3 linked regions of the Elephas maximus indicus genome follow. The main gene of each other region encodes a partner of the protein of the gene in region 3 in a complex. Links are inferred from orthologs where the notes say so. Each region holds a gene or a part of one and is shown on either strand. Other genes may lie near its edges. The genes, in order: SMC5, NSMCE2 and EID3.

Region 1 (10,915 bases), on a different chromosome or scaffold from region 3:
AATTTTTCCTTATAAATTCTGGTTATTTTTATATATTTTTCTACAAAGCAATTTTGAGTTTATAGTGCCATCTTAAGGATAAAGCAACCACATAACCTTGTCATTTTGTCTTTTTTTTATTGCTAGCAGCACAAGACTCATCTTAACCAGAACCTGAGCAATGCCTTCCCCTTTTCTCTTCCCACTCCAGTCATTGTTAATGGTTCTTCTGGGCTGCCTTCCCTCTGTATACTTATCCTTAGTAAAATGTGTCATGATAAATGCCAACTACTTGTTTATACATCCATCTCCTCAAGAATGGTCTCTTATTCAATTTTGTACCCCTATTTTTTACTGTCTAGCTGGAAACCCTGGTGGCGTAGTGGTTAAGTGCAACATCTGCTAACCAGAAGGTGGGCAGTTTGAATCCACCAGGCGCTCCTGGAAACCCTACAGGGCAGTTCTACTCTGTCCTATAGGGTTGCAATGAGTCGGAATTGACTCAACAGCAGTGGGTGGGTAGACTAGCTAAGGAGCCCTGATGGTGCAGTGGTTAGTGCTCGGTTGCTAACTTAAAGGTTCGCAGTTCGAACCCACCAGCCTCTCCACAGGAGAAAGATGTGACGGTCTGCTTCCATAAAGATCACAGCCTTGTAAACTCTATGGGGTAGCTCTACTCTGTCCTATAGGATCACTATGAGTCAGAATCAACTTGACAGCAACAGGTTACTATCTAGCTAAGGAGCCCTCGTGGTCCAGTGGTCAAGCACTTGGCTGCTAACCGAGAGGTCGGCAGTTTGAGCCCACCAGCGGCTCTGCAGGAGAAAAGACCTGATGATCTGGTCCAATAAAGATTACAGCCTAGGAAACCCTATGGGGCAGTTCTACTCTGTCATATATTCACTATGAATCATAATCTACTCAATAGCACACAACAACTGCCTAGCTACCGTAAAGTAGAGGGCCAGTGAAAATGAGGGAAACCCTTCATCAGATGATTGACAGGATAGCTGCAACAATGGGCTCAAACATACCAACGATAGGATGGCATATGACCAGGTAATGATTTGTTCTGTTATACATAAGGTCGCCATGAGTCAGAGCTGACTAGATGGCAACTAACAACAACTGTCTGACACACTCAACAAATAGTTCTGGATTAAATAAACAAACGCTCAACTAAAGCATTTAGTTTAGTATAAACATGCATGTGGTTTCCAAAAAATCATAAGGCATATGAAAGTTCTCTTCGGTCCCTCAAAACTTCATTGGTTCTTTTCATGTATTTGTCAGGACATTACTCTCCCCATCTGTCACGGACTGAATTGAGTCCCCCAGATATGTGTCAACTTGGTTAGGCCATGTGTGGCAGTCCTCCATTTTGTGTATTATAAATCATAATCTCTGCCTGTGGTTAAAGAGGATTAGGGTGGGATGTAACACCCTCGTTCAGGTCACATTCCTGATCCAATGTAAAAGGATTTTCCCTGGGATGTGGCCTGCACCACCTTTTATCTCTCAAGAGATAAAAGGAAAGGGAAACTAGCAGAGAGTTGGGGACCTCATACCACCAAGAAAGCAGCACCAGGGGCAGAGCACGTCCTTTGGACATGGGATCCCTGTGCCTGAGAAGCTCCTCAATCAGGGGAAGCCTTCCTCCAGAGCCGACAGAGAGAACGCCTTCCCCTGAAGCCGACGCCCTGAATTTGGACTTGTAACCTACTGGACTATGAGAAAATAAATTTCTCTTTGTTAAAGCCATCCACCTGTAGTATGTCTGTTATGGCAGCACTAGATGCCTAAGACACCATCCTCTAATATTTCATAAATCACCAGGCTGCAGAGTTCATATTTGCATATCGTAAAATATGCAGCAAATTTAAACCCAGACCAAAAGTTCCATGAAGACTATGAAAAAATGTGGCAAGAAGGGGTGAGAGAAGAAATGGAGTAGATGTATACACGAGTGGGAGTAAGACTTCACAATACATAGCGTTAAAAATAAATAAATAAACATTGCTCATTTGAAAAATTAAATTTTAAAAAATATGACAAGAAATATATGCTTGAGAACATGAAGGTATTCTACAAGGTATGGGAGAGCGGACAATAACCTGAGCACCCCATCCACACGACAAAACACTTAAAAATGCTTGGTGAGATTTAACAAACTTTACTGTAAACAAATAACTAAGCTTGTAAGAAAGGAAAGGAAACCTCCTCCAAAAAAAGAAAGAGAACCGAAAAGCAGAGATGTATGAACAATTCTGGAGGCGGCTGTCAATCTGGGTACCTAGGGATTTAAGCTGTTGCATTAAAAAAGAAAGAAAGAAAGAAAAAATTACCCATAAAAAATCAGAAAAGAGCCTACCAAAGGTGAGGAGTCCAGTACTGAGATTCCAAATAAGGCTAAGAATCTTAAAGAGCTACATCTTCCATGGAAGAATACACCACAAAAAAAAAAAAATTTTTTTTTTTTTCTTTCCAACACAGGGAGACAACGATGCTTACCTTTCTCCATCTGGACTACGGAGTCATGGCAGGAGTTCCTTGAGGATTTCTAACTGGATTGTACAAGTCTGGAGCACAAACTGCCCTCCCCTCGTGTTCTGGGAATCCACAAGCTAACAATATAACATGAAAATGTGTCCCTGGCCAGCGACATCCTTGGGGCACCCGGTAGAAAAAACATAAATTTCTTTAGATGGCCATACACTCAACCCAGGCTGCACGGAATTCCCACATCAAAAACTGCACTGAAGAAAGACTTGTAGTTCAAAACTACCAAACACTTCGTGAGGCAATCCACAAGGCGCAACTCAGCAGAACTAACTACCCAAGCTTCACAAACAGGGATTTTTTGGTAGATACTTTAAAGTAAGTATTTTTAAAATGATTAAAGACATAAAAGCAGCATGGAAAACGTAACCAAGGCTACTTTATGAAAGAAGGTAGGCAAATTTAAAAAAAGCAACAAATAGAACTTCTGTACATGAAAAGGACAGTTATTAAAATTAAAAATTTGGTAGAAGAGGCAAACAGCTAATCAGACATATCTAATAGAAGAAAAATGGTGAACTGGAATATAAGGTAAAAAACCAGAATGCCATACAGAGAGATAAAGAAATGGAAGATATGAAGAGGAGGTTATGAGATGTGAAAAGAAACTGAGAGGGGTCCAGAAAAAGAGAATGGGAGAGAGGCAATATCAAGGGGAAATATTTGAGACTGTTTCAGAATTGGTTATAGAAAAAAATGCTCAACATCAGTGGAATTAATGAATTCAGCAGTGTCAAGATAACTACATACTTTTAGGGGTGCCACGAAATTTTTGAAGAATGTTAGGAAGAACTGCCAGAAATATCACTCGTTCATGGTAACTTCCCGTCACACAGAGTCCGACAAAAAGCAACTACGTACGTAAATCAACTATAGTAAATTTACAGGGTCTCTGTGAGTCAGAATCCACTGTGCGCCAAGTTTTTTTTTTACAGGTTTTATAGTAAATCTATTTAATATTATATAGTCATTAAAAATTATGCCACAGAAGAATATTTACAAGCATGGGAAAATATTCATAATATATTAAGTGGCAAAGAAGACGTTAAATAAAATACACGTAATATATTATGTATAGTATCATCTTTTTCTTTCAGGGTCAGGGAATACTAAAAAACACACACCAAAATTTTAAGTTTCATTAGCTCTGGGTAGAGGAATTATGAATAATTTTTTGTGTATGTTATTTTCCTGTCTCTCTCCTCATTCAAAAAAATTTCTGTTTAACACGTAAACATGTATGAGTTTTGTCATACACAAAATGTTACTCAGTGCCACCAAGAAAGAAGAGCTGGAAGTGGAGCATATCTTTTGGACCCAGCGTCCCTGCACTGGGAACCTCCTAGACCCTGCGTAAACTGATGCCAAGACACATGGAGATCTCCAAGGAACGTCAGGTCCACAGATACTGAAAGGAGACAAAGACCTTCTTGAACAGAGCTGACAGAGAGAGAAAGCCTTCCCCTAGAACTGCCCTGAATTTGGACTTCCAGTCTTCTAAACTGTGAGAAAATAAACTTGTTTGTTAAAGCCATCCAATTTTGGCAATTCTCTTACAGCAGCACTAGATAACTAAGAATTTGGTACTGAGACTCGGGCGCTGCTCTAACATACTTAAAATGTGGAAGTGGTTTTGGAATTGGGTAACAGGTAGAGGCTGGAAGAGTTTTGAGTTTTTTAATAGAAAAGGCCTAGATTGCCTTGAAGAGACTGTTGGTGGAACTATGGACATCAAAGGCAATTCTAGTGAAGGCTCAGAAGGAAGTGAAGAGAGCTGTAACATCGGAGATGGCACAGAAGGCAAGAAGCTGCAGCAGCAGAACCAGGAGACAAATCAGTAAAATTTTCCGATTTAAATAATGGTGTTAGAGCATGAGTGCTTTGCTGCTTAGTCTGAATTTGTGTAGTCATCACAAGTTCAAAAACACTGTTTTATTAGTTTATTTAAGAACTGATTGTGGTGGAAAACTGAAGCCTGGTTCCCTGCCTTCAACTCCCATTACTACTGCCTATATATATTTTTCCATTAGGACCAACCCACTGCTGTCGACCCCTAAATGTAATTATTTCTTAGAAGATTTGACTCTTTTAAGGCTTTTGAAGCAGTGTGCCAAATTACTTTTGAAAAAAATTTGACCAACCCACTGCTGTTGACCCCTAAATGTAATTAATTCTTAAAAGATTTGACTCTTTTAAGGCTTTTGAAGCAGTATGCCAAATTACTTTTGAAAAAAATTTCTACTGGTAATATAGAGGATGCCAGTATTGTGCTCTCCTGAGTACTGAGTGTTTTACCATTATTATTATTACTGCCTGCCATTTGAACAGTTTTAAAATTATTCTTTCAATTTGCCTTTTTTTCTAGTAGCTATGAGGAGTTCATACGCTTTTTAACTATTCTATTTTCATCGGTTATAACTTTGAGAAAGGTTGGATTCCATTTATGTGAGGAAGAAGCCTGGCCCTGGAAGAGAACTGTTGGTCCAGGAGTTCCACTACAATAGCTTTCTAAACAGCCTCCTTGCTTCCATATTTGACCATCTCCAGTAGATGCAACCAGAGTGGTTATTTAAAAATTTTAATTAGATCATGTCCCTCTCTTGCTTAAAGCTACCCAGTGGCTTTCCATTGCTTTCAAAATAACATCTAGGCTCTGTCATGGTGGAGCAATAGCTATAAAAAAAAAAAAAAAAAGGCCTCATGTTCAGTAGAAGGTCATGGAAAAATGAGTGAAACCCTCAACGAGATGGACTGACCCAAAAGCCACAACAATAGACTCAAACATACCAACAACTGAGAAGACAGCACAGGACTAGGCAACATTTTGTTTTTTTCTATTAGATTATATACAAGGTAATCGTGAGTTGCAGCAGACTGCATGACAACTAACACTAACAATATGGTGAGAAACGTTGTTATGCTACCTTGTTCACTACACTGCAGTCACACTGACCTTCCCTTTGTTCCTCAGCCATCCATGTTGTGCCCACCTCAGAACCTTTGCTCTTTCTGTGTTCTTTGACTGGAATGCTCTTTTCTCAGATCTTCACACATCTGGCTCTTTCTTGTCCTTCAGGGCTCGCTCTGCCATCACTTCCCCTGACGGGCCATCCGTGCCTCTACCATCACAATCATGGTTTCATTTCCTTCATAGCACTCAGCTTCATGTAGATGAGACATTAATGTTAGTTGGGTGACTAAAGATCTACCTAGGCCTGAGTGCCCATCTTTAATGAGGGGGGTGGTTAACTAGGTAAATGACAATAAGGTTGTTGAGAAGAATTACCCTTTCAATGAACCCTGTGCATTCCAGCTACCGGATTTCCAGAAACCTTGGGGGAGGAAATCTTACCGCGGAATTAAGGAGAGAGGGGGTGGAGAGTCAATGAAGATAAATCTGTGCAGTGTACTCTTTTCCATAATTTTGAGAGCGAGGGCACCTAACACGACACTCCATGAGAGAAATACAGAATCATTCGATTTTCATTTTTTTGAGACGGGGTACCTCTTTTGAAACAAAGGGGAATGGAACAAGAAGACGACAAGACTGAGACCGGTGTGACCCGGCGCACTCGGGCAGAGTCCCAGCAAGCCGGGTCGGAGGTCCCTCGCCTCGGACGACCCCGCGCCCCGGGCGCCACCGCAACCGCCCCTCCATTCCCTCCCGCTGCACGTGACGGAGGGTCGGGAAGCGCATCCGGTTCTTCGGAGCGCTGAAATGTTTTTTTAAAATACTAAAAGCAATAGGCCTTTTCCTGAGTTAAAAAAAAAACAAAAACTCTGGAAACATGCAGGAATGTGCAGAGACTAACGTGCCCCTCCCCCACATCCCGCCTGCTACTCGGCCAACCAGGCCTCCTCCGTCCGGCCGGGCGCGGCTGGGCGGGACACCGGACGCCGGCGGGCCGGAAGTGCGCAGGCGCCGGGCGGGCTCGCGGGCTCTGTCGCGCGCCGGGCAGTTCGCGCGGGAGCCGGGGGCCCGGGCGGCGGGGCTGCAGGTCGAGGGGAACGGAAGCGGCTGGGGGACCGAGAGGGAGCCAGGATGGCGACTCCGAGCAGAAAGACGTTGACCTCAAGCCCCCAGGTCTCCAAGAGAGTTCTTCCGAGAGATCGTTCATCGGAGGTCCCGAGCAAGAGAAAGACTTCTGTCCAGTCAACGCTGCCGCCAACGCCGCTGCTGTCGCCGCCAACGCCGCTGCTGCTGCCGCCGCCAACGCCGCTGCTGCTGTCGCCGCCAACGCCGCTGCTGATGCCGCCGCCAACGCCGCTGCTGCCGCCGCCAACGCCGCTGCCGCCGCCACGGCTGCAGTCGTCCGGGCCTTTAGTGGAAGGCTCCATCGTCCGCATCGCGATGGAGAACTTCCTGTGAGTGGCCCCGAGGCCGTGCCGCGGCGGAGGAGGCGAGTGGGTCCCCAGGCCGGGGGGCGCCAGCTGCGTGCGTGTGTACACGTCGGGGTGTGTGCGTTGTGACGGCCGGTGCGGGGACGGAATGTGTGCTGGGTTGTGGGTCTGGCGGTGAATTCGCCCCGAAGGTCCGATGTTACCGTGAGGCTTTTTACGTAGGCGGTGGAGATCGACGTGTTTGTTGTGTGGTAGATGTGTGTGTTGTGTATTGTGTTCTTTTTATGCATTCTGTCAACGTTTTTTGAAGGCGTCATGTGGCAGGCAGTGGACGTACGAGGGACTAGGTGTCAGCCTGCTGGGAGTTACGGACTATAGGGGATATAATTTATAATTCACAAAACTGTGGGCCCGGGGAACTCAGGAGACAGCACTTTAATCCGAGTAGCAGTGATGCTATGGCAGGTTCCTAAAGAGTAGGCTTTTGCCGGGTGGACAGAGGAGTAGATAAGATGGCACAGGTTGTCCTGGATGGGGGTTGAAATGTACAATAAAATTAAATCTCACTCTCAATGGTTGTTCCTCTCAACAGACCTTTGATTTCTCCAAATCCAGCGTTCTTCCCTGGTTCATTTTCTCTCCCTTCTGTCAACTAGTAATCATTTTAGATTTTAGTAAGTATGTTTTAATAAACATGCCATGTATTTGTTTAGCATCTTACATACAGTTCATTTGTTCAATGTCTGTTTTTTGTTGTTGTTGATTTTTTTTGTTGTGTTTCTTAAGCTTCCTCAGAGTGGAGTAGGGGGAACAGAATTGTGATAACAATACCGCCATTTTTCAAGCACCTACCATGTGCCAGGTACAGAACTAGGTGCTTCATTTACCATATGTTCTCTCTTTCTTTTCGCCTAACAATTCTCTGTATATTTCCATTGATGAGATAAGCACAGAGAGGTTAATTTGCCCAGATTTACACAACTAATAAGTAGCTGAATTGCTCTTTGCATTTAGACCAGGAAAGATAAATTAATCAATGAGGTCGATTCTGTAGATGTCCTGGGGGCACAAAAGAAGTGGTTCATTTTGCCCACAAGTGTGAGAAAGAGCTTTATAAAGAGGGTTCTGAAAATCTTGAAAGATGGGAGGCTTTCTTCCCACAATCAACAAAGGAGAAGAGCATTGCAGATGGGAAGAGCTGCCTGAACAGTTTGGTATATTTAGAAAACTTCCAGTATTTCAGTATGGCTAGAACATAGGATGTAAATGAATATGTGGGCAGAGGTGATATGGAAAGGTACGTAACCATTGAGGGCTTACGTGTTTACTATGCTGCAGAATCCCAGCTTGATCCTGTAGGCAAACAGGCTGAGTTTTAAGTGGGGACTGACATGTGGTTTGTGTTACTGTGGAAGCAGTGTGGGGGATGATGCAGAAAGGGTGCAAGATTGGAGGTTAATAAGGAGATTTTGTAATAAGGAAGCAAGAGATGATGGGGTTTGAACACAGGGGTAGTAACGAGGTATAGAATTAGAAAGAAAAAAGATTAGATAGGATCTGGCTACAGATTAATTGTGAGACCTGAGGAGAAGAAAGGAGTGCTGCATTTTTCCCAAGTCTGTTACTTGGTTAATTGATCAGATAGTGCTACTATTCAGAAGAGGGAGCAGTTTGGGGAGAGTAATAATAAATGCCTCTTGAATCCTGTGACTTGAAGTTTCCTGTGGAACATTTCAGATATTGAGTTATATATATATATATATATATATATATATATATATATACATATATATAAGGGTCTGGGGCTTAGGAGAAAGTTCTGAATAGGTAAGAGATTTTAGAATCAGGTATACAGGCGATTATTGAAGTTACGGGAATTGTTGAGATTCCTCAAAAGAAAATATAAGCAGGAATAGAAGGCCAGGTACAGAGCCCTTGATAAATGCCGACATTAAAGGGTGAGTAGGAGAGGAACTCATAGACCGAGAAGGAGCTGTTCAGGGACAGAAGAGGAGAATGGGGGGAGAATATTATCACAGAAGCCAAGGAAAAAAAGTGTTTGAAAAATATTCTCTGGTACGATGAAGTCAGATAACAGGACTGAAAAGAGCCCACTGAATATTGCAACTAAGAAATGTTTGATTTTTCCAGTCTTAATGGTCTGACTGAGACTAGAAGGACCCCAGAGGTCACGGCCCCCAGACCTTCTGTTAGCCCAAGACTGGAACCATTCCCAAAGCCAATTCTTCAGACAGGGATTGGACTGGATTATAAGACAGAACATGATACTGGTGAGGACTGAGCTTCTGGGCTCAAGTAGACACATGAGACTATGGGGAGCTCCTGCCTGGAGGGAGATGAGAAGGCAGAGGGGGACAGTAGCTGGCTGAATGGACACAGGGAATACAGGGTGGAGAGGAGGAATATACCGTTTCATTAGGGGGAGAGCAGCTAGGAGTACATGGCAAGATGTGTATAAATTTTTGTGTGAGAGATTGACTTGATTTGTAAACTTTAAACTTTCACTTAAAGCACAATAAAAAAATTAAAAAAAAAAAGGGGATGTTTGATCTTCGATGAATTAGTGGAAGCAGAAAACTTTGTAGGCCATAGAAGAATGAACAAGGGATGAGGAAGTAAAGATTGGATGTAAAGAGGAGAGAGAAAAGAAGTCAGCTGGAAAGTGCAGAACCAGGTGAAGTTTTTGTTGATTTTAACAATGGGAAGACTTTGAGTTTTAGAAGAGGAGTAGGAGAGGTAGGTAGGCTTAGAAAACCAAAATGACCAAGAAGAAAGCAGAGTCAGGGAAGGATTCCTGTGAGAGAACCAAGTCCAGTGGGGTTGGGAGTAGATGTTTCTAGGCAGAAAAAAATAGCACATGCAAAGGCTTGGAGAAAGGAAAAAGTGTAAGTTGGTCAAGAAACTCAAAGAAGTTCATTATACAGGTAGTCCCCAACTTGTGATGTGGTTTCACTCTGATGACTCCGTTTTAAGTCACTTCTGACATAAGTCGAATACCTCGTTTTTGTTTTCACTATTATTGCCTTGTATAGGGTCACTATGAGTCAGAATCAACTTGACGTCAATGGGGTTTTTTTTTTTTTTTTTTTTGTATTAGTAGCGTTTTAAGTCTGATCTGTGTTTTGGGGGATTGGAAACATTACATATAAACATCTGTGAGTGAACACCTAAGAATGATAACATCCGCGAATTACACACTGCAACATTGTATGTAGTACATATTAGGATAAAATATACCAAAAAAAGGACCATCGTGTGATTCATCATAACTTGAATATGTTGTTAAGTTGGGGACTACCTGTGTCCAGAATTTAGAGATCTGAGTAGAGAATGAGAAAGGGGGTAGAAAGAAGAGAAAGACAGGGGGAAAAAAAATGTTGCCTTTGAGTTGATTCCAACTCATAGAGACCCTATAGGGCAGAGTAGAACTGCCACATAAGGTTTCCAAGGAGCAGCTGGTGGATTCGAACTGCCAACCTTTTGGTTAGCAGCTGAGCTCTTAACCACTGTGCCAACCAGAGAAAGATGAGGCTAGGGCTAAATTGTGAATTAAAGAGATTAGATTAGGGGAGAGAGGAGCTAGACAGGACTAAAGAAGTCTTTTGCAGCTATTCAGATAAGAGATAATGAGGGCCCGGGTAGTGGCAATAGGGATGGAGAGACGGGTGAATTCAAGAGCTAATTAGGAGGGTCACCAGCATGACTTATCGATTGATTCAATGATGGGAGCAGAGGGTAAGCAGAGGCAAAGGAAATCAAAGATGGTGTAAAACTAAGGCCTGGGTTTCTGATTCTGGAGCCCTGGTGGCACAGTGGTTAAGTGCTTGGCTGCTGACCAAAAAGGTCAACAGTACGAATCCACCAGCTGCTCCCTGGAAACCCTATGGGGCAGTTCTACTCTGTCCTGTAGGGTCACTATGAGTCGAAATCAACTACACAACGATGGGTTTGGGTTGTTTTTTTTGGTTTAGGTTTCTGATTTGGGGAATGTCATGAATGACAGTACATTCACTGA
Region 2 (10,476 bases), on a different chromosome or scaffold from region 3:
TCCTTGCAGTTAGGTGTAGCCATTTGATTGAATTCAAGCCAATGAAAAATGTAAGCCATTTCCAGGCCCTGCCCGTGAAAACCACATTTTCCCCATACTCTTTTCCATTTGAGAGCTTGACACAGGCAAGCACCGTGGCCTAAGAAGCTTTATGTTGATAGAGAATTACTAGATGAAAGGAGCCTGGGACCCTAAATCACTGCATGGAGGAAATCTGCTCACCAGACAGGTTCTACGTGTGAAAGAAACAAACTTCAATTGTGCAAAGCCATGTAGATTTGGGGGCTTCCCTGGTATAGCACCAACTGTCACACAAAAAAACACAATCCTTCAAGGACCAGAATGATCTAAGTATTCAGTTTTCCAGTCAATCTTGATTCTAGGGTAAGCCTAAACTATCTACAGCAGCACTGCCCAATAGAACTTTCTGTGATGATGGAAATGTTCTATAACCTGCACTCTCTAATGTGATGGCCACTGGCCACATGTGGATACTGAGCACTTGAAATGTGGCTAGTGTGACCAAGGAACTGAGTTTTTAATCTTATTTAATTTCAATTAATTTAAATTTAAATAGCCACCTGTGGCAAGTGGCTACCATACCGGACATCACAGATTGAGCGGCATGGTTATAAAATTGTACTATATGAACCACAGTTAAATAACAGGGCCAAACCCACAGTATAAGCAGGATGTATCTTCCTGGAATATCACTTTCGCTTAGAGATAATAGGAAACATGTCTGTATTAAAATATTTATTAGCTACACTGTAGAGGCAATATAGAATAGCAATTAAACATGCAGCCTCTGGAGCCAGGCTGTCTGAGTTAGATGACTGGTTTTGCCTATACACCCTGGACATTGTGTAAAACCAACATAAGACTCTGAAAGGTGGAAAGAAGAAGGCAGACTGGCTAGGAGCAGGAGAGCTGAAGAACACAGTGGTGAGTTCCTTGGGTTTTCTTTTTGCCTCATTATCCCAGACTGGGTGGTTGAGCACCCAACAACCCAGGCAGGACAACAACACAGACAAAAAAAAAAAAAAAATCCCAAGAATAGCTTGCTCTTTCTAACCAAAGAAGCAAGAAAGGGGCGGCCTAGAAAGCCAAAACAGGAGCCCTGGAGGCACAACAGTTAAGTGTTCAGCTGCTAACCTGAAGGCTGGCTGTTTGAACCTGCCCAGCCATTCCACAGGAGAAAGAACTGGCGATCTGCTTCTGAAAAGATTAAAAAAAAACCGCCAAGAAAACCATACGGGGCAGTTCTACTCCGGCACATGGGGTCGCTATGAGTCAAAAATCAACTCGACAGCACCTAACAACAACAGCAGCAAGCCAAACTTTTAGACAATTGCTCTACTCTAGGTAAACACCACAAAAACACGCAAACAACAACAAAAACTCTGCAGCCTCAACCCCATCAGCAAAGGCTTAGGCTTTCGCCCTTGCTGGGCTGTAATGAGGCACTCCTCCGGGCACAGCCTCAGAGAAGGCTTAGTGGGATGCTGGAACTTTCATGCCTGCATAGCCTTTCTTCCCCCTTCCTGCTGTGTCAGTGGACACTGTCTGAGGAGCCTGTATGTCCACCCCAACCTCTGCCCTGCTGGTGTCAGAGGAAGCCTAGAGGGCAGCCAAGACTTTCATCTACCACCTAGGGGTAACACGGCCGTCCCCCAACTCCCACGGTGAAGGCTATGTGGAGAGCAGTAACAAGGCACCGTACCCCTCCCAGCCACGGTGGTACCGGGGAGTCCTAGCAGGGAGCTTGCACTCCCACCCCTTCACAGTCATAACAAGACTGAGTGGGGAACTGGACTTTCAATACCATCCAGCAGTAACAAGCCACTGTTCCTTCCCTCAGCAGCTCAGTGTCACAGAAGGCCTATTAAAACAGAAAATCTAAATAATATACAGCATTTCATAATATAATACCCAAAACGTTCAGGATTCAATCCAAAATCACTAGTGATACCAAGAAGTGCTAAACCTCACCCTGAATGAGAAACAACCCACAGACACCAACACCAAGATGACACAGATGTTAGAGTTATCGGACAGAGATTTTAGAGTGGCCTTCGTAACAATGCCGAAAAAAGCAATTATAAACAAGCTTATAACAAATAAAAAATCTGAAAGTCACAGCAAATAAATGTAAGATATAAAGACAATCCAGATGAAAATTTTACAACTAAAAAAAGTTCAATAATCGGAATAAATATCTCAACGGATGGACCCAACTGCAGAATGGTGACAACAGACAAAAGAATCAATGCAACTGAAGACAAGAATAGAAATTAGCCAATCTCGACAACAGAGAAAAATAGACTGAGGGGAAAAAAAAAAAGAACAGAGCCTCAGGGACACATGGGACTATACGAAAGTATCTAACATTCATCTCATTGGAGTCCCAGAGGAGAGGAAAAAGTGCTCAAAGAAATAATGGCTGAAAACTTCCCAAATGTGACAAAAGACATAAACCTACAGTTTCAAGAATCTGAGTGAACCACAAACAAGACAAAAACTCAAAAACTAAACCCATTACTGTCCAGTCAATTCCAACTTATGAAGATCCCATGTGTTACAGAGTAGAGCTGCTCCATAGGGTTTTCTTGGCTGTAATCTTTATGGAAGCAGATCACCAGGCCTTTTTTTCTGTGGTGCTGTTTAGTGATTTTAATGGTTTCAAACCACCAACCTTTAGGCTAGTGGTTGAAAGCTTAACCACTTGTGCCACCTGGGGCGGGGGTCGGGGGAACTGGTCGCCCTGGAGTTGATTCCAACTCATAGCACCACCCAGGGACCTACAAATAGTGTAAGGTCAAAGAAATACCATCATGGCACATCATATCCAAACCTCAGAACACTAAAAACAAAGAATCTTGAAAGCAGTGAGAGAGAAACAAAACTTTTCCTATTAAAAAAAAAAGAAGAAGCTAAATCCAGTGCCGTCAAGTCGATTCCAACTCATAGCAACCCTACAGGACAGAGTAGAGCTGCCCCCATAGAGTTTCCGAGGAGCACCTGGTGTATTCAAACTGCTGACCCTTTGGTTAGCAGCCATAGCACTTAACCACTACGCCACCAGAGTTTCTGCCTTTCTTATAGAGGAAAATAATTTGAAAGATAGGTTTCTCACCAGAAACCATGAAGGCCAGAAGAAAATGGCACAACAACTTCCAAGTGCTGAAAGAAAAGAACTGTCAACCCAGAGGTCTACGTCCAGCAAAAATGTCCCTCAGGAATAAAGGGGAAATCAAGACATTCTCAAGCAAGGCTTGGAACCAGTGAACAATCACCTGGGGATCTATAAAAATCACCTGGGGATGTTGCTAAACTGTGGATTCTGATTCTGACTATCACAGGTGGAAATGCAAATTTTCAGCAGGCTTCACACCAGAACGAACCGGTTCAAGGCCCTGTTATTAAGTGGAGGAAAGCTAAGAGAATCTGTCACCAGCAAACCTACCCTACAAGAATGACTAAAGAAAAAGTTTCCGAAACAGAAAGGAAATGATAAAAGAAGAGGTCCTGGAACACCAAGAAGAAAGAACAATGGAAAGAGTAAAGACCAAAAAACTAAACCCACCGTGTCAAGTCGATTCGGACTCACAGCGACCCTATAATAAAAATAGGAGTAAATACAATAGAGCTTCCTTCTCCAACAGTGTGCCATAAAGTAGTTGTGGGCGCTTCCCTGTCACTATCGCTAATCCTCACAACAATTTACGTAAGAGAAAAGGAAGCTGAAGCCCAAAGAGTTTATTTACTTGACTTGTCCAAGGCCGTGCTTGTAAAAAGTTAAAACCTGATTTATTTGGATCAAAAATTCGTGATCTTTTCCCCACACACTCAAGACTGAAGTTTGGAGAGACGGTGCCTAGGAAAGGGAGGTAAACTGCCCCAGTCTCACTGCGTGAAAAGAGCCAGGACCAAACCCAAGTCGACAGTTCCCGCTCAGGGCACGCGCAGAGCGCCCAGGAGCGAGGACACAACTCCCGCCACCCTCTCCACCGCCGACCCCGCTTTTGCCTTACCTGGCTGCCCGACCTATCTCCGTCCGGCTGCACCCTGACTTCCCATGACGGTACCCCACACCTTTCCTAACCCCCTTGCACTGCCCCTGAGAACGGCGAGCGGGCCCTTGCGTCATCAGCCGTCGCCGGAGCGTGGTCACGTGACGCCCCGCTCTGCCCACCGCCCCTTTGGTCACGTGACGGCCAGAGGCTCCGGGAGCGGAAGCCGGGGTCAGTCCCGGTGGCTGTACCAGTCTGGGGATCTAAGGGGACCCTTGCGTAGGGGGAGCGGAGGTCGCGAGTCCGTGTGCGACTGCCGGCCCTGAATGAGCGCCACTGGCGCGGCCCTAGTGACAGGTGAGTCGGGCGAGGTGCGCGCGCCCTCCTCTGCACGTTTCCTCTTCCCGTCCTCCGTCCCGGCGCTGGGCCACCCTGGCGTCGGGGTGGGGGGGTCTGGAGGGAGGGCCCTAGGGCCGAGGACTTGGCGGCAGCAGGTGGCTGGGGGCTGCAGTCCAGGCTCTTCATTTCCACTTTGATGGAAAAAATGTTGCACATTCCTTTGGCGCTTTAGGAAGCGATGTTTCCATGCTGGGCTCCTATCTGATTCTTCCAAGTTCTACGGAGCAGTGCCGTGCGAACGTCATAATTCTTTTTACTCTCAAGAAAAATGAGAACTTTTACAGTCTAACGGACCAGGATTTGAATTCTAGTTCTGTGATGGACTGGATTTGGGCAAATCACTGCCCCTCTCTGCACCTTAATTTCCTCACAGGTGACATAATAGCGCCAAAGTCCTGTCCTTTGCATTTCGAAAAAAGAATTCTAGGCCTATGGTCTCACCATTAAAAAAAAAAAAAATGTGACAGAGCCAGTAATAGAATCGGGTCTTCTAATTCGAAGTGCACTGTTCTTTCTCAAACATAGGTGATGGGAGGGAGGGGCGAGTTTTATTGCCTCTGCCCACAGTGAGGGACCCCCAGTTTTCCTTCACCTGGATTCATAAATCCGAGTAGAATGATCAGAGTCATTTCAGAACATTTCTGAAACAGATATGCCTGTCACTTTCATCTTGGTCAGCAACCACTATATTTTGTTTTTGATAATGGATTTGTGGAAACCAGTGCTTCCTTCTTTATGGAACTGAGGTTTTGTGAAATGATAAAAATAGACATCATCCTTTGTCCTCTGAGTAGGGTAAACAGTAGTTTGTCTCAGAATAATTTAATTTTCTTCAGAATTTCGGTTCTGTACTCATGGTGTGATGATGCCAACCTTTCTTCATGAAAGCGTGCTGTCTTTTGTCTAGGAGTACTTTCCAAACTGAAAAGCCCAGCTTTGTGCCACATTCTTAAAAATAAAGTTACAACCTCTTTTCTGGATGACTTGTAAAAAAAAACTAGAAAATTGAGTGGACTCTGGTTCTTTTTTACACTAGTAGTAATGCAGCCTATATTGAGTAAAACGGTCTTTATGAATTTCCTTCATCTCTAGCATCAAGAGAACCCCTCAAAGGCTGGTTATAGACAGCTTTTTCTACAGTTTTTATTTTCACCATACTCTGTGGTTGTTAGCTGCCATCGATTGGACCCCCGACTCAAGGCAAGCGCGTGTGCAGTGGAACAGAATGCCCACTTTTGTGCCGTCCTCATGATTGCCTGGGGGTAAGGCCATTGTGATCCGTAGGGTTTTCGTTGGTTACTTTTCAGAATGGCCGGGCCTTTCTTCCTAGTCCATCGTAGTCTAGCAGCTCTACTGAAACCTGTTCAGCATCACAGCAACACCCAAACGTCCACTGACGGATGATGGCTGAGCGTGAGGTGCATCAGCAGAGAATCAAACCTCGATTTCCTGCACGGAAGGCGAGAATGCTACCGCTGAACCACTGCCCCTTCTGTAAAGTTTCCTAACTCTGAGATGGAGGCAAGGTGTTTGGGCATCTTGAATGATGGTTCCTAGGTTCTGTTCTTCAGGGCCAGTTTTTCTGTCAACAGTGGGGGCTGTTTACCAGATACTCTAGCTAAAGAATAATTTGTGCAAATTGTGGTAATTTCATTTGTTAACATGAAAAATCGAACTAGTGCAGATGACATGGTCTAGTACGTGGTAATGTAACTAAGTGATTTCCTTCTTTCAGTTAATCTTGTTTTAGCTTGTTCAAAAATTTAGCTAGAGATGCTAGCAGTGTTAGGGAAGGAAAACTCAACTGTTCTTCATGAGTTGGGGCAGATTACAGGCACTTCCCTGAAAGGGCATTAAATATAACCATATCTTGCTTTTATATTAAAAAAGTCAAGATAAACATTTGTTTTTTAGAATTTTAGACAAGGTGATTAACCTATATATTAAAGGTCCATAACATTTCTCTCACTGTTGCCAAACATTTATTTTCCTATTCTCCTACTAATGTTGTTCTGGAAATTGGCTACGTTGTAATTCTTGGGTTAGGGCATAAGGATTAAAACAAGAGATTGACATGCAAAAGTCTATGTCATTATCCCAGTTAGTTTTGTTTTGAACTTGAGGCGTCAGCTTCTCTGAATATGTACTTGAAGGTGCTGAGTGTGTCTGTTTGTCTGCTTGTTGGGAAGGAGTGAGGAAGAAAGTAGTTAACTTGATTTGTTTTAAACTGCTCCAGGGCCCCACTGTTGGCCCTATCTCGTTATCCACAACCAGGTAGCAGTTAGACCTGTTAACTATCGCTTGCCCCTCTCTGAATGTGTCTAGAGTTTTCATCCTGCTGAGACCTGGTTTAGTTTGGTGTTCTTCAGAGGACCCTCCACAGGGGACTGTTTTGCCCGTTGTCTTTTATTTTTCCCTTTTCCTCTCTCATTTTCCATGCCAGTCCATATCATTGCAGAAAATTAAGTTCTCCTTCAGAATTTACTGAAATTCAGCCTGTTAGAGATCAGTGTGGTTTAACAAGCAAACATCACAGAGAAAACTAAAAGGATTTGTTAAAAATCCATGCCTTATGTGTATTATAGGATGCCGTCATGAGAGCTCTAGACAGCCTAGTGGCTTCTCATATCTCCTTGCTCTCAAACTCAACCCCATCCACCTTTCCTGATCTCTCCTTCTGTCCTTTGCTCACTAGGCTCCAGCCACATCAGCCATCTTACTGTTCCTTAAACACATCAAGCACATTCCTGTCCTGAGGCCTTTGCACTTTTAATCCCTACCTGGAATGCCATTCACCCAGATAATTATTACTGCTCCAAAATTTAGTAATTTAAGACAACAATTACTTATTATCTCACATTTTCTGTGTTTAGAAAGCCAGGGTATGACTTAGCCCAATACCTTGGCCTCAGGGATTCTTCTGAAGGGTGCAGTCAAGCTGAGCATGGGCTCACATCTGAAGGGTCTCACCTGAAGGCTTAACTGGGATTGTGGGAACCCATTTCCAAGCTCACTCCTGTGATCGTTGGCAGGCCTCAGTCCCTGTCACATGAGCCTCTCCAAAGGCTGTCTCACAACATGGCAATTTGCTTCCCCTGTGGCAAGCAAGCTACAGAAGATACCCAAGCCAGAAGCCACAATTTTTTGTAATTTTTGTCATCTTTCCACATTCTGGTTTTATGTACAGTGTAGTCACTATTTCAGCATTCAGTATCTGAGTCCATGTGTTGTAAGACTGCCTGTGGAAATAAAAGATGGTATTGACATAAAAATGATAATGAGCTGACTACTTTTATTCAAATATTCCTGGCCAATGATGTCTGTGAGGCCAAATGCTTATCTTTGCTAGCTATTTCCTAATGGTTAATATCATATGTATAGAGTACAATACCAGTGCAGAGTGAAAGTGCAAATGTTGCAAAAGACACAGGCTTCCATGAACTTGACAAATGATGACCTAGCTAAATTAACAATAGAGACAAGAAATACAACAAAGATGGTGACAAAAATGGTTGGGAGAGCCTTTGAGAAGAAAATGATGCCTTGAAACTTTTGTGCAAAAATTACCATTTTAAGGTCAGGCTATGAAAGTCCACTCTGAAGTACAGGATATTGTATTATCAAATTGACAGTTTTGGTGAAATCATGTACTCCCCCAAAGTACCAGTTTTATATTACACAAAATTTAGAGTAAAATTACGATAAGAGAAAAAAGATTTTCTTTCTTTCTTTTTTTTTTTTTTCCTCTTATCAACTATGTACTAATTCTTTGGCCAAACCAAGTTGAGTTGATTTATTTCAGGGGACTATATGGTATACTTTCATAATTTTTAATTACATCACTTTTTTTTTGTTTTATAAAATGGAAGCATCCTATTTATGTTTCTGCATCTTTATTTTTCCCCTTAGTAATAGCTCTCAGAAATCCTCCAACTTAACCGGTGTAGTTCTAATTCCTACTTATTAATGGCTACTTAAATTCCAGTTTCCTTACTAATGGGTATTTACTTTGTCTTCAAATTTTGTAAGATGACTAACAATTCTGCAGGAAGCATCCTTGGACCTGTATCTTTATATGTTGCTGCTTTTATTTCTTGGCGTAGATTCCCAGGCATGAGATTACTAAGTCAAAAAGTGTGTATATTTTTAATTTCAGTAAGTATTGGTTCACTTTCTCAAGACTAATAATTCACATTTCCACCAGTAGTGTATTTCCCCAGTTCCTACCTGAAACAGATATTATTATACGTTTTAATCATTGCCAACCTAATGGAAGTAAAGTGGTTTTTGGCACTGGCTTTGATTTGTAGCTCCTTCACTGCCAGTGAACTAAGGATCTTTCGGATGGTTGTCTGTCATTGGGATTACTCTTCCCTGAACTCACCTTTTATATCTTCTGCCTGTTTCTCTGTTGGGTTATTTGCTCTCTTCTTGTCAGCTTGTGAGATCGCTTTGCGTGTTTTAAAAATCAACCCTCTGTCTGCCCTCTGCATTGCAAATTCATCGTTGTAATTCTTTGCCATAGGAAAAAAAAATTTTTAAGAAATTATGAACTTTATTTAATAATATTTTTTCAGAGGAATTTTTTTTAGTGTGTGAGTTAGGTGAAAGTTTACAGAGCAAATTAGTTCCTCATTAAACAGTTAATACACAGATTGTTTTGTGACATTGGTTGCCAACCCCACGATGTGTCAACACTCTCCCCTTCTCCATCTTGGGTTCTCTGTTTCCATTTGTCCAGTTGTCCTGTCCCTTCCTGTCTTCTCGTCTTTGCTTTCAGCCTGGTGTGCCCATTTAGTCTCGTATACATGATTGAACTATGAAGCACATCCCTCACATGTGTTATTGTTGGCCCTATAAACCAAAAAACCAAAACCAAACCCTCGGCCATCAAGTCGATTCCAACTCATAGCGACCCTATAGGACAGAGTAGAACTGCCCCATAGAGTTTCCAAGGACCGCCTGGTGCCGAACCTTTGGTTAACAGCCGTAAAATTTAACCGCTACGCCAGCAGGGTTTCTGTTGGCCCTATAGACCTGTCTAATCTTTGGCTGAAGGGTGGACCTTGGGAGTGATTTCGGTATTGAGCTAAAAGGATGTCTGGGGGCCATACTTTCGGAATTTCTCCAGTCAGGCCAGCAAGCCTGGGGTTTTTGTGTGTGTGTGTCTGAATTTTAATTTTGTTCTGTATTTCTACATTTTTCTCCTGCTCTGTTTGGGACTCTGTATTGTGATCCCTGTCAGAGCGGTTGGCGGTGATAATCAGGCACCGTCTAGTTGTGCTGGGCTCAGTCTGGTGGAGGTTGTGGTAGTTGTGGTCCATTAGTCCTTTGGACCAATCTTTCCCTTGTATCCTTGGTCTTCTCCTTTGTTCCAGCTGGGAGCCCTAGAAAAGTTTTTAAGTGTCATCTACTAAACTATGTCTTTTCTAACTTCTGGGTTTCCTTCTCTAGCCCTGATTTCCTAGACGATGCCACTTTCTTAAAGATCATCTATCATAAAAAGAATACTGTAGCCAAGATAAGATCAAGTAAAGGCTCCATGCTGACAGGGTAATGGCAGCTGCACCCAGTATTTCTTTATCTTGACCACACACTCAAGCACTTCACGTCTTTCTCTGACTTTTTCTTCAGGGCTTTTCTCTCAACAGTATTATAAGCAGCTGGAGGGGGCAGGCGTCACCTCTCATATCCCTCATGTTATTTTTTATGTAATTGTCGTGTGCATCAATGCCAGGGAGTGAGTTAAGCACAGAGGATACAGAGGCGAATATCGTCATTTTATATTTATTTGCTGCAGTCTTCCACAAGATCAGTCTTTGTCAATCCTGGCTTTACATCAGAATCATCCAGGGAACTTGTTAAAAATAGGAGACTGCCTCTAACCTACTTCACCACAAACCCCATGACCCCAGATGACACTGTGATTCAGCCAGGTTTGAGAACCGCTGCATTGCAATGTAGTTGCTTAAACATTGTTACATCCAGCCTGGCAGAGAGGTACTCAGCAAGGAGTGCTTGAATAAAGGAGAGCAACCCTTGCCTTCAAGAAATTGCAGGAGAA
Region 3 (10,633 bases):
AACATTTACAAAAAGGTATCATTCTTTGTAAGAAGCCCTGGTGGCACAGTGGTTAGGCGCTTGGCTGCTATTTCGAAAGGTCAGCGGTTTGAACTCACAGTGGCTCTGCAGGATATGACCGTCTGTCTCTGGATGGATTTACAGCCTTGAAAACCCTATGGGGCAGTTCTACTCTGCTATCACTTCGAGTTGTAATCAACTCTATGGCACTGGTTGTCATTCTTGTCCTAAAGGAAATATGCAATTTAGTAGACACAGAGGAATGCAGTTCAATTCAGCAAGCAGCTAGTGATGAATGCCTACTACATGCCAACACTGAGCTAGGAATACCAGGGTTGACATGGGCTCAGCCCTGAATCATAGGCATACATTCTTATCAGGGAGGTCAGGTATGTATCCTCAAAGCAGTACCAAAGCTGAGTGCCAGAAGTCTGAGTACACCAGTGTGAGCTCTACACGCATACAGGTCTGGGTTCCAATCTTGGCTCTGCCACCTAACTGGCTGTGTAATTCTGGGCATGCTGCTTAACTTCTCATGGGCCTCCACTTTCTTATCTGTAAAACTAGATAATACCACCTCAACTAAGTATTACAGCATTTAGAGTCTAGCACATAAAAGGCATTCAATACAAGTTAGCTACTATCATTAATAGGAGCCTGGTGGCACAGTGGTTAAGAGCTCGGCTGCTAACCAAAAGGTTGGCAGTTCAAACGCACCAGGTGCTCCTCGGGAACCATGAGGCAGTTCTACTCTGTCCTATAGGGTTGCTGAGTTGGGATTGACTCGACGGCAATGGGGTTTTTTTTTTAATAGACACAAAGATTAAGACTAGCTCTGCATCTCTGACATAAAAAAACCAAAAACCAAACCCACTGTCGTTGAGTCAGTTCTGACTATCCTCTGACATGGAAGCCAAAAAATTATCCCTGGCAGGATTCCTCCTTTTCCAGAGATAAGGAATTTCTGGGAAAGCTGTGAAAGAACAGAGGAGGCAAGGAGTGGCCAAACCTGACCTCGTACCCTGAACAGGAGCAGCTGAAAAAGTAGATTTGGGCAGAAAAATAAGTCAAGAATTGAAATAAAGAACAGAATAAAGGAGGAAAATTTTAGGGAGTATAGCTGCAACAGTCAGCCTTCCCAGGAGCCTCCAGTAAATGAGGGAGCAGAGGAGATAACCAGAAAAGCAGGCTGGGGCCAGACCCTGGAGGGTACAGAATACCAAGCGAAGGAATGTACACTCTATCCTGGATGGGATCGAGGGGCAGTGAAACAGCCATCAGGAAGATGACTCTGGCAGCAAAGGGAACAGAAAGGGAGGGAGATCAGAAGCAGGAGGCCAGTTAGAGACTGCTGAAATAGTTTAGGCAAGAGGAAATGAGGCCCTGAAATTGTCTGGGCAAAAGTTAATAGAGGCAACTCGCAGATGTGTGGGAAATAGTTGAGTCCTGGTAAGTGAACAAAGAGGAAAGGCAAGATCAAATGTGAAGCCCCAACCATGTAAGAATAATAACGCTACACAGCAAAGAGGTCTGTGTTGTCACTTGGTAGAAGTGGAAGAAGCGAGTACTTGATAGGGGTGTAACACTTTATACCTGCATAGAAGAACAGAGAAATATGCTACCTATGGCCAGGACCTGTATGTCCACGTGTAAAATCGAAACTGCAGAGCTGCTAAATGCTGGCTCTATGAATAGAGTTCAACGTGGATTTCAACATGGATTCAACCAGTAAAATTTTACTATTCTGTGTACCAGATAAATTTATTCACATTCCTAACAATCCACTTCCTCTTTTAAATCTTGTTTGTAGTCCTTATCCCCAAAAGTTCCAAATTCTTATTAAGGTAAGCCTTCACTACCACCACCACCTCCAGTTGCCCTCGAGTCGATTCCAACTCATGGTGGCCCCTGTGTGTCAGAGCAGAACTGTGCTCCACACAGTCTTCAATGGCTGGTTTTTCAGAAGTAGATTGCTAGGCCTTTCTTCTGAGGCACCTCTGGGTACACTCAAACCTCCAACCTTTTGCTTAGCAGCTGCGTTAGTTAACCATTTGCACCACCCAAGGAGCCTGTTTATTTCCTTTATCTTCTCCTTTAGGTCTCAACCCTAAACCAGGCCAAAAGCAGATACACTACTAATCCTCCACCACGGAAATGGAATTACCTCAAAGAATCAAAGGAAATCAAGTTTTCTGGAAGTTTGGTACAGTACTGAGTGGAGTGGCTGGAAAGTTATTCAAATACCACTTATTTCTGATGTCTATTCATTAACAGTCTGGTTTCTAGTAACTTTAGAAGCCAGACTTGAAAGGAGATCTACCTTTTGTTCAGTATCTACCTCCCTAGGCTGGAACGTCACACCGCTGAACCCGACTACAATATGATCACATCTGAGCTCCTACTCCGACTGCCTGCACAATTCATTTGGATGTTAATCACCCACTGTGTTGTATCTGTCATCTCTATTACTGCCTTAAAGAAATTATCTAAATTGTGCTACTAGTTTTAAGGCAGTTTTGAGACAAGTTACCTTAAACTACTAAGTCTTAACTCTGTCTGGCACTTAATATTCCAACAAGGACTTTTTCATTCAGTTCAACACCACCAATGGTCACTTATATGAGTGGTTTCGAAATCTGGAATTCTGAAGATACTGATCTACGTATGAGACTCCCTATAAGAATGCTTGTAATCTTGGGCTTAAAAACTAAGATGTTTATAAAAGTCAGATGTCTTTGAGCAATAGGAACTCTATTCATAGGTTCTAGCATTTAGCAGCTCCCCAGTTCTAATTTTACGCATGGACATACAAGCCCTGGCCCTTAGGTAACACATTTCTCTATTTTTCTAAGCAGGTGTGAAGCGTTACACCCCTGTTGAGTTACCATTTGCCATGGTGGTGCCACAGTTAAGAGCTATGGCTGCTAATCAGAAGTTTGGCAGTTCCAATCTTCTACCGCTCCTTGGAAACTCCATGGGGCAGTTCTACTCTGTCCTATAGGGTCACTATGAGTCAGAATCAACTCGACAACAATGGTTTTCAAACTACTATCTTTGTTTTCTCCAATTCTAATTATTTTATCAACTGATCTTGACCAAACTCCTCTAAAGCAGCCTCAAATTTGATATTCTTAAGAATTATCTGAGGGAGTTTTTTGAAAAGAAAATAAAGAGGGTCTATTCAAGAAGAACACAGGTAAAGCTCAGGTATAAAAAAAAAAAGGTATACACATTTAAAAAGCACTCCAGGGGATTCTACACTTTTTTTTAAACACACTTCTTTAAAGTCTTTATCCTTTAGGTAGTCATCTAGGCTCACCAGATCCTGCCTTTGGGATTCTCTCTCCCTCTTCTACAGTAGTGCACTGTGAAAGCAAGGTAGGTTTTGCTGTTGTTATTTATTGAGAAGAAGAGGGAAATGGACATGAAGGGAAGGAACAATATTAAAAGGAGAAAGGCAAAAAGGATATTCTAAAGACTCCCTCACCATTACTTGATTAAGCAGCAAGTAAAGTATGAAGTCTTAACTTAAAGGTATGAACTTTAAGATTAGGACACAACTTCTATAAGTACTCACTCTCCACTAATTAAATACACTTCTCCACTCAAACCCAAAGCTCCCTAAAGATTTATCACCGAATGTGGATAATAACTGGCTGGAAATCCGCAAACTTCAAATTGATAGTCCTTACCCCTGTTGTGTCTCTTGTTCCATTTCTTAGCACTCATCAAAAAACAAAAATAAATCAAATGATACATAGTAGAGTAGTAAATTTACTTAAAAGGGATGTGCTAAATGATTTTTGTTTTAAGTATGCCTTGGTGGTATGCTTTTCATTCATGGTATTGCACCTCATTAAGGATCTGAAATTAACTATGATCATATGGAACTGAAAACATCAAATCATGTTAATAAAGTGGGTCCCAAAGCTTATAAAAATGGTGATTCTTTTTACTCCCATTGATGTTAAAACCAGGAGCATCTGTAGAATTATATAAAGACCAAATGCCTATGTAACTTTTAAGCATAAGTTTATGACACAGGTGGATAGAATAGAATAATCTGACAGAAAGGAGTATTAATAGACTTGTCTCATTTTACTTGCAAACTAAAGGTCTGAGTAACAATGTATTTCAAACAAAGTTAAAAGTCTTCTTATCTCCTTTAATTATTTCCCATTCACTTGCTGTCTTTGAAGTCTAGCTCCATTCCCTACACCCATTCTTAAAAAGTTAAATGAGATTCTTTCAGAAGCAAGAAAAGGTAATACATAAAAATATAAATTGTTAATAATTTCTTAAAGGCACACACACCTAAACACATTCTTTCATTCAAATCAGGCCTCGGGTTTACTGCTAAGTAGACAATGTTCATGTATCAGTTCCATTTCTTAAAAACTACACAGCTACAAATGGATGAGGACTAGAACTTTCTAAAATGATAACCAGTAGAACATCACTCATACATCTAGCCTTAAACATGCATTTAGCTTCCATGCATTTTTCCAGCGGTCAGTGGCTGGTCATAAGGGGCGGAGGGTGTCCCATCCTGTCAAGAACCAAAAGGAAGATTTCTTGTTCCCTTTTTTTTTTTCCTCCACCCAATTGTTAGCTCTGGGCTAAAAAAAAAAGAGATTTCTGAAAAGATATATACTCACCCCAGGAGTTTTCTGGTTGCTTTCTTCAGTGAAGCCTGGGGGTTTCTGGCCCCCCCCCCCGCCCCCGCCCCCACCCCGGGGAACTAAAGAGGAAGAGACAGGGGTGACTTGAGGAGAATAAGAATTTCCTGACTCCCTTTTCACAGTACTTCCCTAAAAGACGCAAAATCAAAAGTTTACACAGCCGCTAAAATTTTTTAAGTTATTTAGACTGACTGGGAGGGAGGCAGGGGGAGAGGCAATTTTTTTAATTTATTTTAAAATATGAAAATTGTTACATATTCCCGTTTCAAGCTTCCCGTCTTTAAATTTACCCATCGTCTGATCAATGTGAACTAACAATGTTAGTTATCCCACAAGTGTTTCTTTGTCATTTTCTAAGGATGGGCTCCGTTTTCAGGTTCATTCACAGAACACTGCCTTTAACAGGAAGCTGCCACAATGGGCTCGCTGAGCTCATTCCTAGTTAAGGCGGGTAAAAGAAACGTCAGTATCTCCTACCTTCAAGGTCTGATCATGGCCGCCTATCTTTCTCTGTTTCACAAACACCACGGGCACTTTGGTTTCCAAGGTCAATGCCGAGAGCGCTCCTTCCAGGACCAGCCCGTCCTCTGTAGCACAAAAAAAGCAGACAGTGGAGTCTGTAAGGTCTTTCTTACAGCCGACCGAGGCGGGAACTGTGGAGGGGCGGAGCTTCCGGGGCCCGGGGCCTTCCAGTGCACTGTGTGCCCTCTGGAAAGGCGGCGGTGACTCCCCTGCAAGTTAGCATGACTTGCTCCATTTCTGACCATGACTAAAGCCTAGTCAGATTTGGATTTTGGACCTGGACAATCTCTGTATTAACTGAAAACATGGCCTCAAGGCTAGATAGAAACGTCAGTTAAATCATAGCAAGTCTCTGCTAAAATTAACCGTCCCGTTTTTCCAGCAAGAATTTAAGACAAAATTTTCTCAGCTTTCACAAAACGCTTCCCCATTTAATTGGGCTTTGAACTCTGCACCTATATAGAATGCCAAAATCCAGCTTCCAATGTTTTCTAGAAATTTGAAACCACGAAGCAAAATTACCAACACTGCCCATTTAGGGTGCTTTTACTTAAGAACTTCGAAGCACCGCATCAAAATTCTAGATAAGACCAGAACTAATAATTCAGTTTTACAAAGGGTGAACTGAGGCAGAGAATGAGTCAGTGATAGAATTAAAAACAATTCAGTTACAACGATGTCAGGGCCATTCATGAGACAAAATCAACACTCAAACGTACATTTGTTTAGCGTTAACAATAATGACAATAGCAGCTAACGCTTCCATAATGCTTTGTATGTATTAAACATTTAATCTTTACAACTAGCCTTTTGAAGTAGGTATTATCAAGCCCCAGGTCCATTTCACAGATACGTTAACTGAAACACAGAAAAGCTATGTAACATAACCAAGAACACAAAGCTAGTTAGGGAACAGCAAAACCAGAACGCAAACCCAGGGAGTGTGGCTCAGGTTTATGCTCCGAACCACTACCCAGTACTGCCTGATACACCGAGATAATAAACACTGGAGTCCAGTAGCTGCCGCACTTCATAATCTCTGTCAAACTGGGCAACTCACTTGAACTTTCTGAGCCTTGCTTTCCCCCACCTGTAAAAACATGGCGATTACATATGCTTTGCCAACCTCTCAAAATTTCTGATGATTAAATGATGTAAAACTTCCTTGGGAAGGCATTCTTACACATTTACACTTTCTTAATGCTGTCCAGGATCTGTCAATCTATTCATCGGATTATTATCTACATTTCAAGAGTCGTGTACTAAGAAATTATACAAAAACCCATTTTCTCTGATATTCTGCAAACAAGAGCTAGAGGAAGGAAATCATCAGCCGACAGAGTGCCAGCCTCCCCTACCATATGCTGAAGCGTTAACTGACCAAGATGAAACTCATCTCTGAACGCTGCCAAGAAGCTCACCTGCCTTAGAAAAGCCTCATCCCACTTTTGGGACCCGCCTTAAAATATCTCCCCTTTCCCTGGAATCATAATGCACCGCACAGGCACAAAGCTCACACTCCCTGCAAGCAAACAGTCTCCAACGTGCTCACAGGCTACAGGCCTAGCGCTTTGTCCGTTTTCAATCACCGCAGAGCTTACTATGTTCGAGCAGTCGGACGTCAGGCTCTTCCTCAGAAGGGCCACCTTAGACTCCGAGGCACATGCCGGACTGAGGCGAGCTGAGGTGAAAGGGTTGGTGGTTTCTAATAGCTACGAGAAGCCACGCCCTTCCCTGAGTCGGAGTGTTAGCAGCCAAAGTCAGAATGACAAAGCAAAAATCCACTTCTCGTGCAGCGTTGGCAAGCTAGTCTAATCGGTTTAGCAAAGTGGCATCTCCTAACTGGGTGACACCATATCCTCTTCCTGCTCACAGCCGCCCCCAACGCAGGAAGACAGCAAAAACAATTTAAGAAATGCTTGGAACCTGAACCAACACAAGAGTGTGTGTGTGTGTTTAACTGAACAAAACTGGATTATGCCCTAAGGCAGTAGCTCCACAATTTTGCTGCCGGTTAATGATCACGTGGGGGTCTTTAAAAAGTACTGAAGCCTAGCTCCCACCCCCCCAGGCCTTCTGATGTAATTGGTATGGGGTGTGGCCTGGGCATCAGTGTTTTTTAAAGCTTCTCAGGTGATTCTATTGAGCAGTAAAGTTTGGGACTCATTGTGTTAAAGTAATGGATTAGTCAGTTTGGCAATTCCCTAAAGGAAGTTATAAGGCTTTTGAAAGAAATGTCTAGGCCGTTCTGACTAATTCTGAAGTGACAAATTCTCACCAACACACAAATTACCTTTGGACTACTTCCTCCTTTTCCCTCTCAGGTTTTGGTTTCTCTTGTTTGCCTCAACAAAAACTGAGAATAGATTTAACTCCAGCCATGCCAAGCCACCTGCAGCTGCGGAAGTGAGCCATGCTCTCTAATACTTCCTTGGTCCTGCTGGCATTCTTACTCAGCACCTCACACTAGTAAGCGGCTACCAATATTTGTTAAATGAATGAATGAATAAATGTCTTTCCTACTTCTTTGGAAAATGCTGTACTCAAGCACACTCAGGTGAGAAGGTTGTTGGGCCCTTAGGGCTGTCAGAAGCCACACCTCTGAACCATAGCCAACTCCTTTGAGCCCCTTCTAAGGCTCAAGTTGGATGCTTGGGTTAGCCGATAGCCTTCTGAATGGCCTTCTGAATGCATGCACAGGCACACCAAGCTCAAGCCTACTGCCATGGAGTCAATTCTGATTCATAGCGACCCCATAGGGTTTCCAATACTGTAAATCTTTATGGAGACAGACTGCCACATCTTTCTCCCAGAGAGCCTTTGGTGGTTTCTATTATTTTAACCACTACACCACCAGGGTTCCTTACACACAGGCACACGCTGCAAGCTAAATTGGTGGGTAATAACTTGAGTTAATCAAGACAGCTACCTGGCCAACTGACTGGAAGAGATCGATATTTATGCCTATTCCCAAGAAGGGTGATCCAACCGAATGCAAAAATTATCAAATAATATCATTAATATCACAGGCAAGCAAAATTTTGCTGAAGATCATTCAAAAGTGGCTGTGGCAGTACGTAGAAGGGGAACTGCCAGAAATTCAAGCCGGATTTAGAAGAGGATGTGGAACCAGGGATATCATTGCTGATGTCAGATGGATCCTGGCTGAAAGCAGACAATACCAGAAAGATGTTTACCTGTGTTTTATTGACTGTGCAAAGGAATTTGACTATGTGGGTCATAACAAATTATGGATAACATTGTGGAGAATGGGAATTCTGGAAAACTTAATCGTGCTCATGAGGAATCTGTACCTGGATCAAGAGGCAGTTGTTCGAACAGAACAAGGGGATGCTGCATGGTTGAAGGTCAGGAAAGGTGTGCGTCAGGGTCATATCCTTTCACCACACCTGTTCAATCTGTGTGCTGAGCACATAATCCGAGAAGCTGGACTATATGAAGAAGAACGGGGCGTCAGGATTGGAGGAAGACTTATTAACAACCTGCATTATGCAAATGACACAACCTTCCTTGCTGAAAGTGAAGACTTGAAGAACTTACCGATGAAGATTAAAGACCACAGCCTTCAGCATGTATTGCAACTCAGCATGAAGCAAACAAAAATCCTCACAGGTGGACCAATAAGCGACATCATGATAAATGGAGAAAGGATTGAAGTTGTCAAGGATTTCATTTTACTTGGACCTACAATCAACACCCATGGAAGCAGTAGTCAAGAAATCAAAAAATGCATTGCATTGGGGAAATCAGCTGCAAGAGATCTCTTTAAAGTGTTACAAAGCAAAGATGTCACCTTGAGGACTAAGGTGTGCCTGACACAAGCCAAGGTGTTTTCAATAGCATCGTATGCATGCAAAAGCTGGACAATGAATAAGGAAGACCAAAGAATAATTGATGCCTTTGAATTGTGGTGTGGAAGAAGAATATTGAATATACCATGGACTGTGAAAAGAACAAACAAATCTGTCTTGGAAGAAATACAACCAGGATGTTCCTTGGAAACAAGGATGGCGAGACTAGGTCTCACATACTTTGGATGTGTTGTCAGGAGGGATCAGTCCCCGGGGAAGGGCATCATGCTTGGTAAAGCAGAGGGTCAGCGAAAAAGAGGAAGACCCTCAACAAGATGGATTGACACAATGGCTGCAACAATGGGCTCAGGCATAGCAACAACTGTGAGGATGGGGCAGGACCGGGCAGTGTTTCGTTCTGTTGTGCATAGGGTCACTATGAGTCGGAACTGACTCGATAGTACCTGACAACAACAACTTGAGTGCTTCACCTCATTCTGCGTCCTTAGAACAGAGGATGGATCTAAAAAAAAAAAAAAAAATTTTTTTTTTTTTTATCTAGCACATAGACATTACAAGGTGATTTAAGGAATAAAAAATGAAAAATGTGATGAAAGGAAAGCTGAGGCTAAGGGAGAACACTGACATTTATTTATTCCTGGCTGCTGTGCCAACCTTGTGTTAACCATTTTTTATGTCTTATTTTGTCTACACAATAACCGATGAACCAGAGTCATAAACGCCTCACTCTAAAAGTATATATAGGAACTACAGCTTATTTCAAAAGCATGTCTGAGGAAAAAGGGATTTTAAAATCATTTAATTTGAAATGATGTACTAAAGGAAGTGATAAGGACTGATTTCAAAAAGCCTTTCCACAGACAGCACCTTGTAGGCACAGACAAGTCAGGGTTGCTATGGTTAATATTTTCTTTTTTTTAATAGCATACCAAAAAAAAGCTAAATAAGGCTTTTTAACTTCACATTGTTCTTCAGTGAGCAAATTAAATAGCAAAAACCGTCAGAGCAGCTCATGCATTTATTCTAACAAAGAAAAAAATTAAATTAAAAAAGAATCACCATTTTAAAACACATTCTTCGCTTCTTCAAACCATTCTTGCTGCTGTTAAGGAGACCCAAGTGTCTTACCCTTGTCACGAAATATAGAGTAGAGCTCAGTAGTTCTATTAGTTGCTGGTTAATGGAAAAAGAGCTTCATCCTCAACTATTTTTTATTATGCAGCATTTGTTCTAGTCATACATTCTCACATCTCCTAACTGTGCTCATTTTACCCCCTCCCAGCCCAAAATTATCTTCCCTCCCTAAGGGCCTACTCCATCAAAGCTCATCTAAAATGTCACCTCCTTTTCAAGGGCTTCCCTGATTACCATCTACTGTTAATCAATCCTTTCTTCTTCTATGTCCACACACACACAAAAAAACCATTGCAGTCGAGTCAATTCCGACTCCTAGCAACCCTTTAGGACAGAGTAGAACTGCCCCATAGAGTCTCCAAGGAGCACCTGGTGGATTCAAACTGCTGAACTTTTGGTTAGCAGCTATAGCACTTAACCACTATGCCACGAGGATTTCCCAAGTACCTAATAATAATTACA

Evidence for each region.
Region 1: EID3 (region 3) and SMC5 share a complex: the UniProt entries of both Homo sapiens proteins name them as parts of the SMC5-SMC6 complex. The link is inferred for Elephas maximus indicus from reciprocal best matches to the Homo sapiens genes EID3 and SMC5.
Region 2: EID3 (region 3) and NSMCE2 share a complex: the UniProt entries of both Homo sapiens proteins name them as parts of the SMC5-SMC6 complex. The link is inferred for Elephas maximus indicus from reciprocal best matches to the Homo sapiens genes EID3 and NSMCE2.

Annotation. Positions count from the first base shown.
Region 1 is NC_064827.1:85,475,062-85,485,976, forward strand, and holds the start of SMC5 (structural maintenance of chromosomes protein 5), read left to right. Parts: upstream 1-6,457; 5' UTR 6,458-6,580; coding exon 6,581-6,903; intron 6,904-10,915. UniProt on the Homo sapiens protein: Core component of the SMC5-SMC6 complex, a complex involved in repair of DNA double-strand breaks by homologous recombination.
Region 2 is NC_064833.1:18,043,029-18,053,504, forward strand, and holds the start of NSMCE2 (E3 SUMO-protein ligase NSE2), read right to left. Parts: upstream 4,137-10,476; 5' UTR 4,035-4,136; intron 1-4,034. UniProt on the Homo sapiens protein: E3 SUMO-protein ligase component of the SMC5-SMC6 complex, a complex involved in DNA double-strand break repair by homologous recombination. Is not be required for the stability of the complex.
Region 3 is NC_064822.1:170,975,904-170,986,536, reverse strand, and holds the start of EID3 (EP300-interacting inhibitor of differentiation 3), read right to left. Parts: upstream 5,154-10,633; 5' UTR 1-5,153. UniProt on the Homo sapiens protein: Tissue-specific component of the SMC5-SMC6 complex, a complex involved in repair of DNA double-strand breaks by homologous recombination.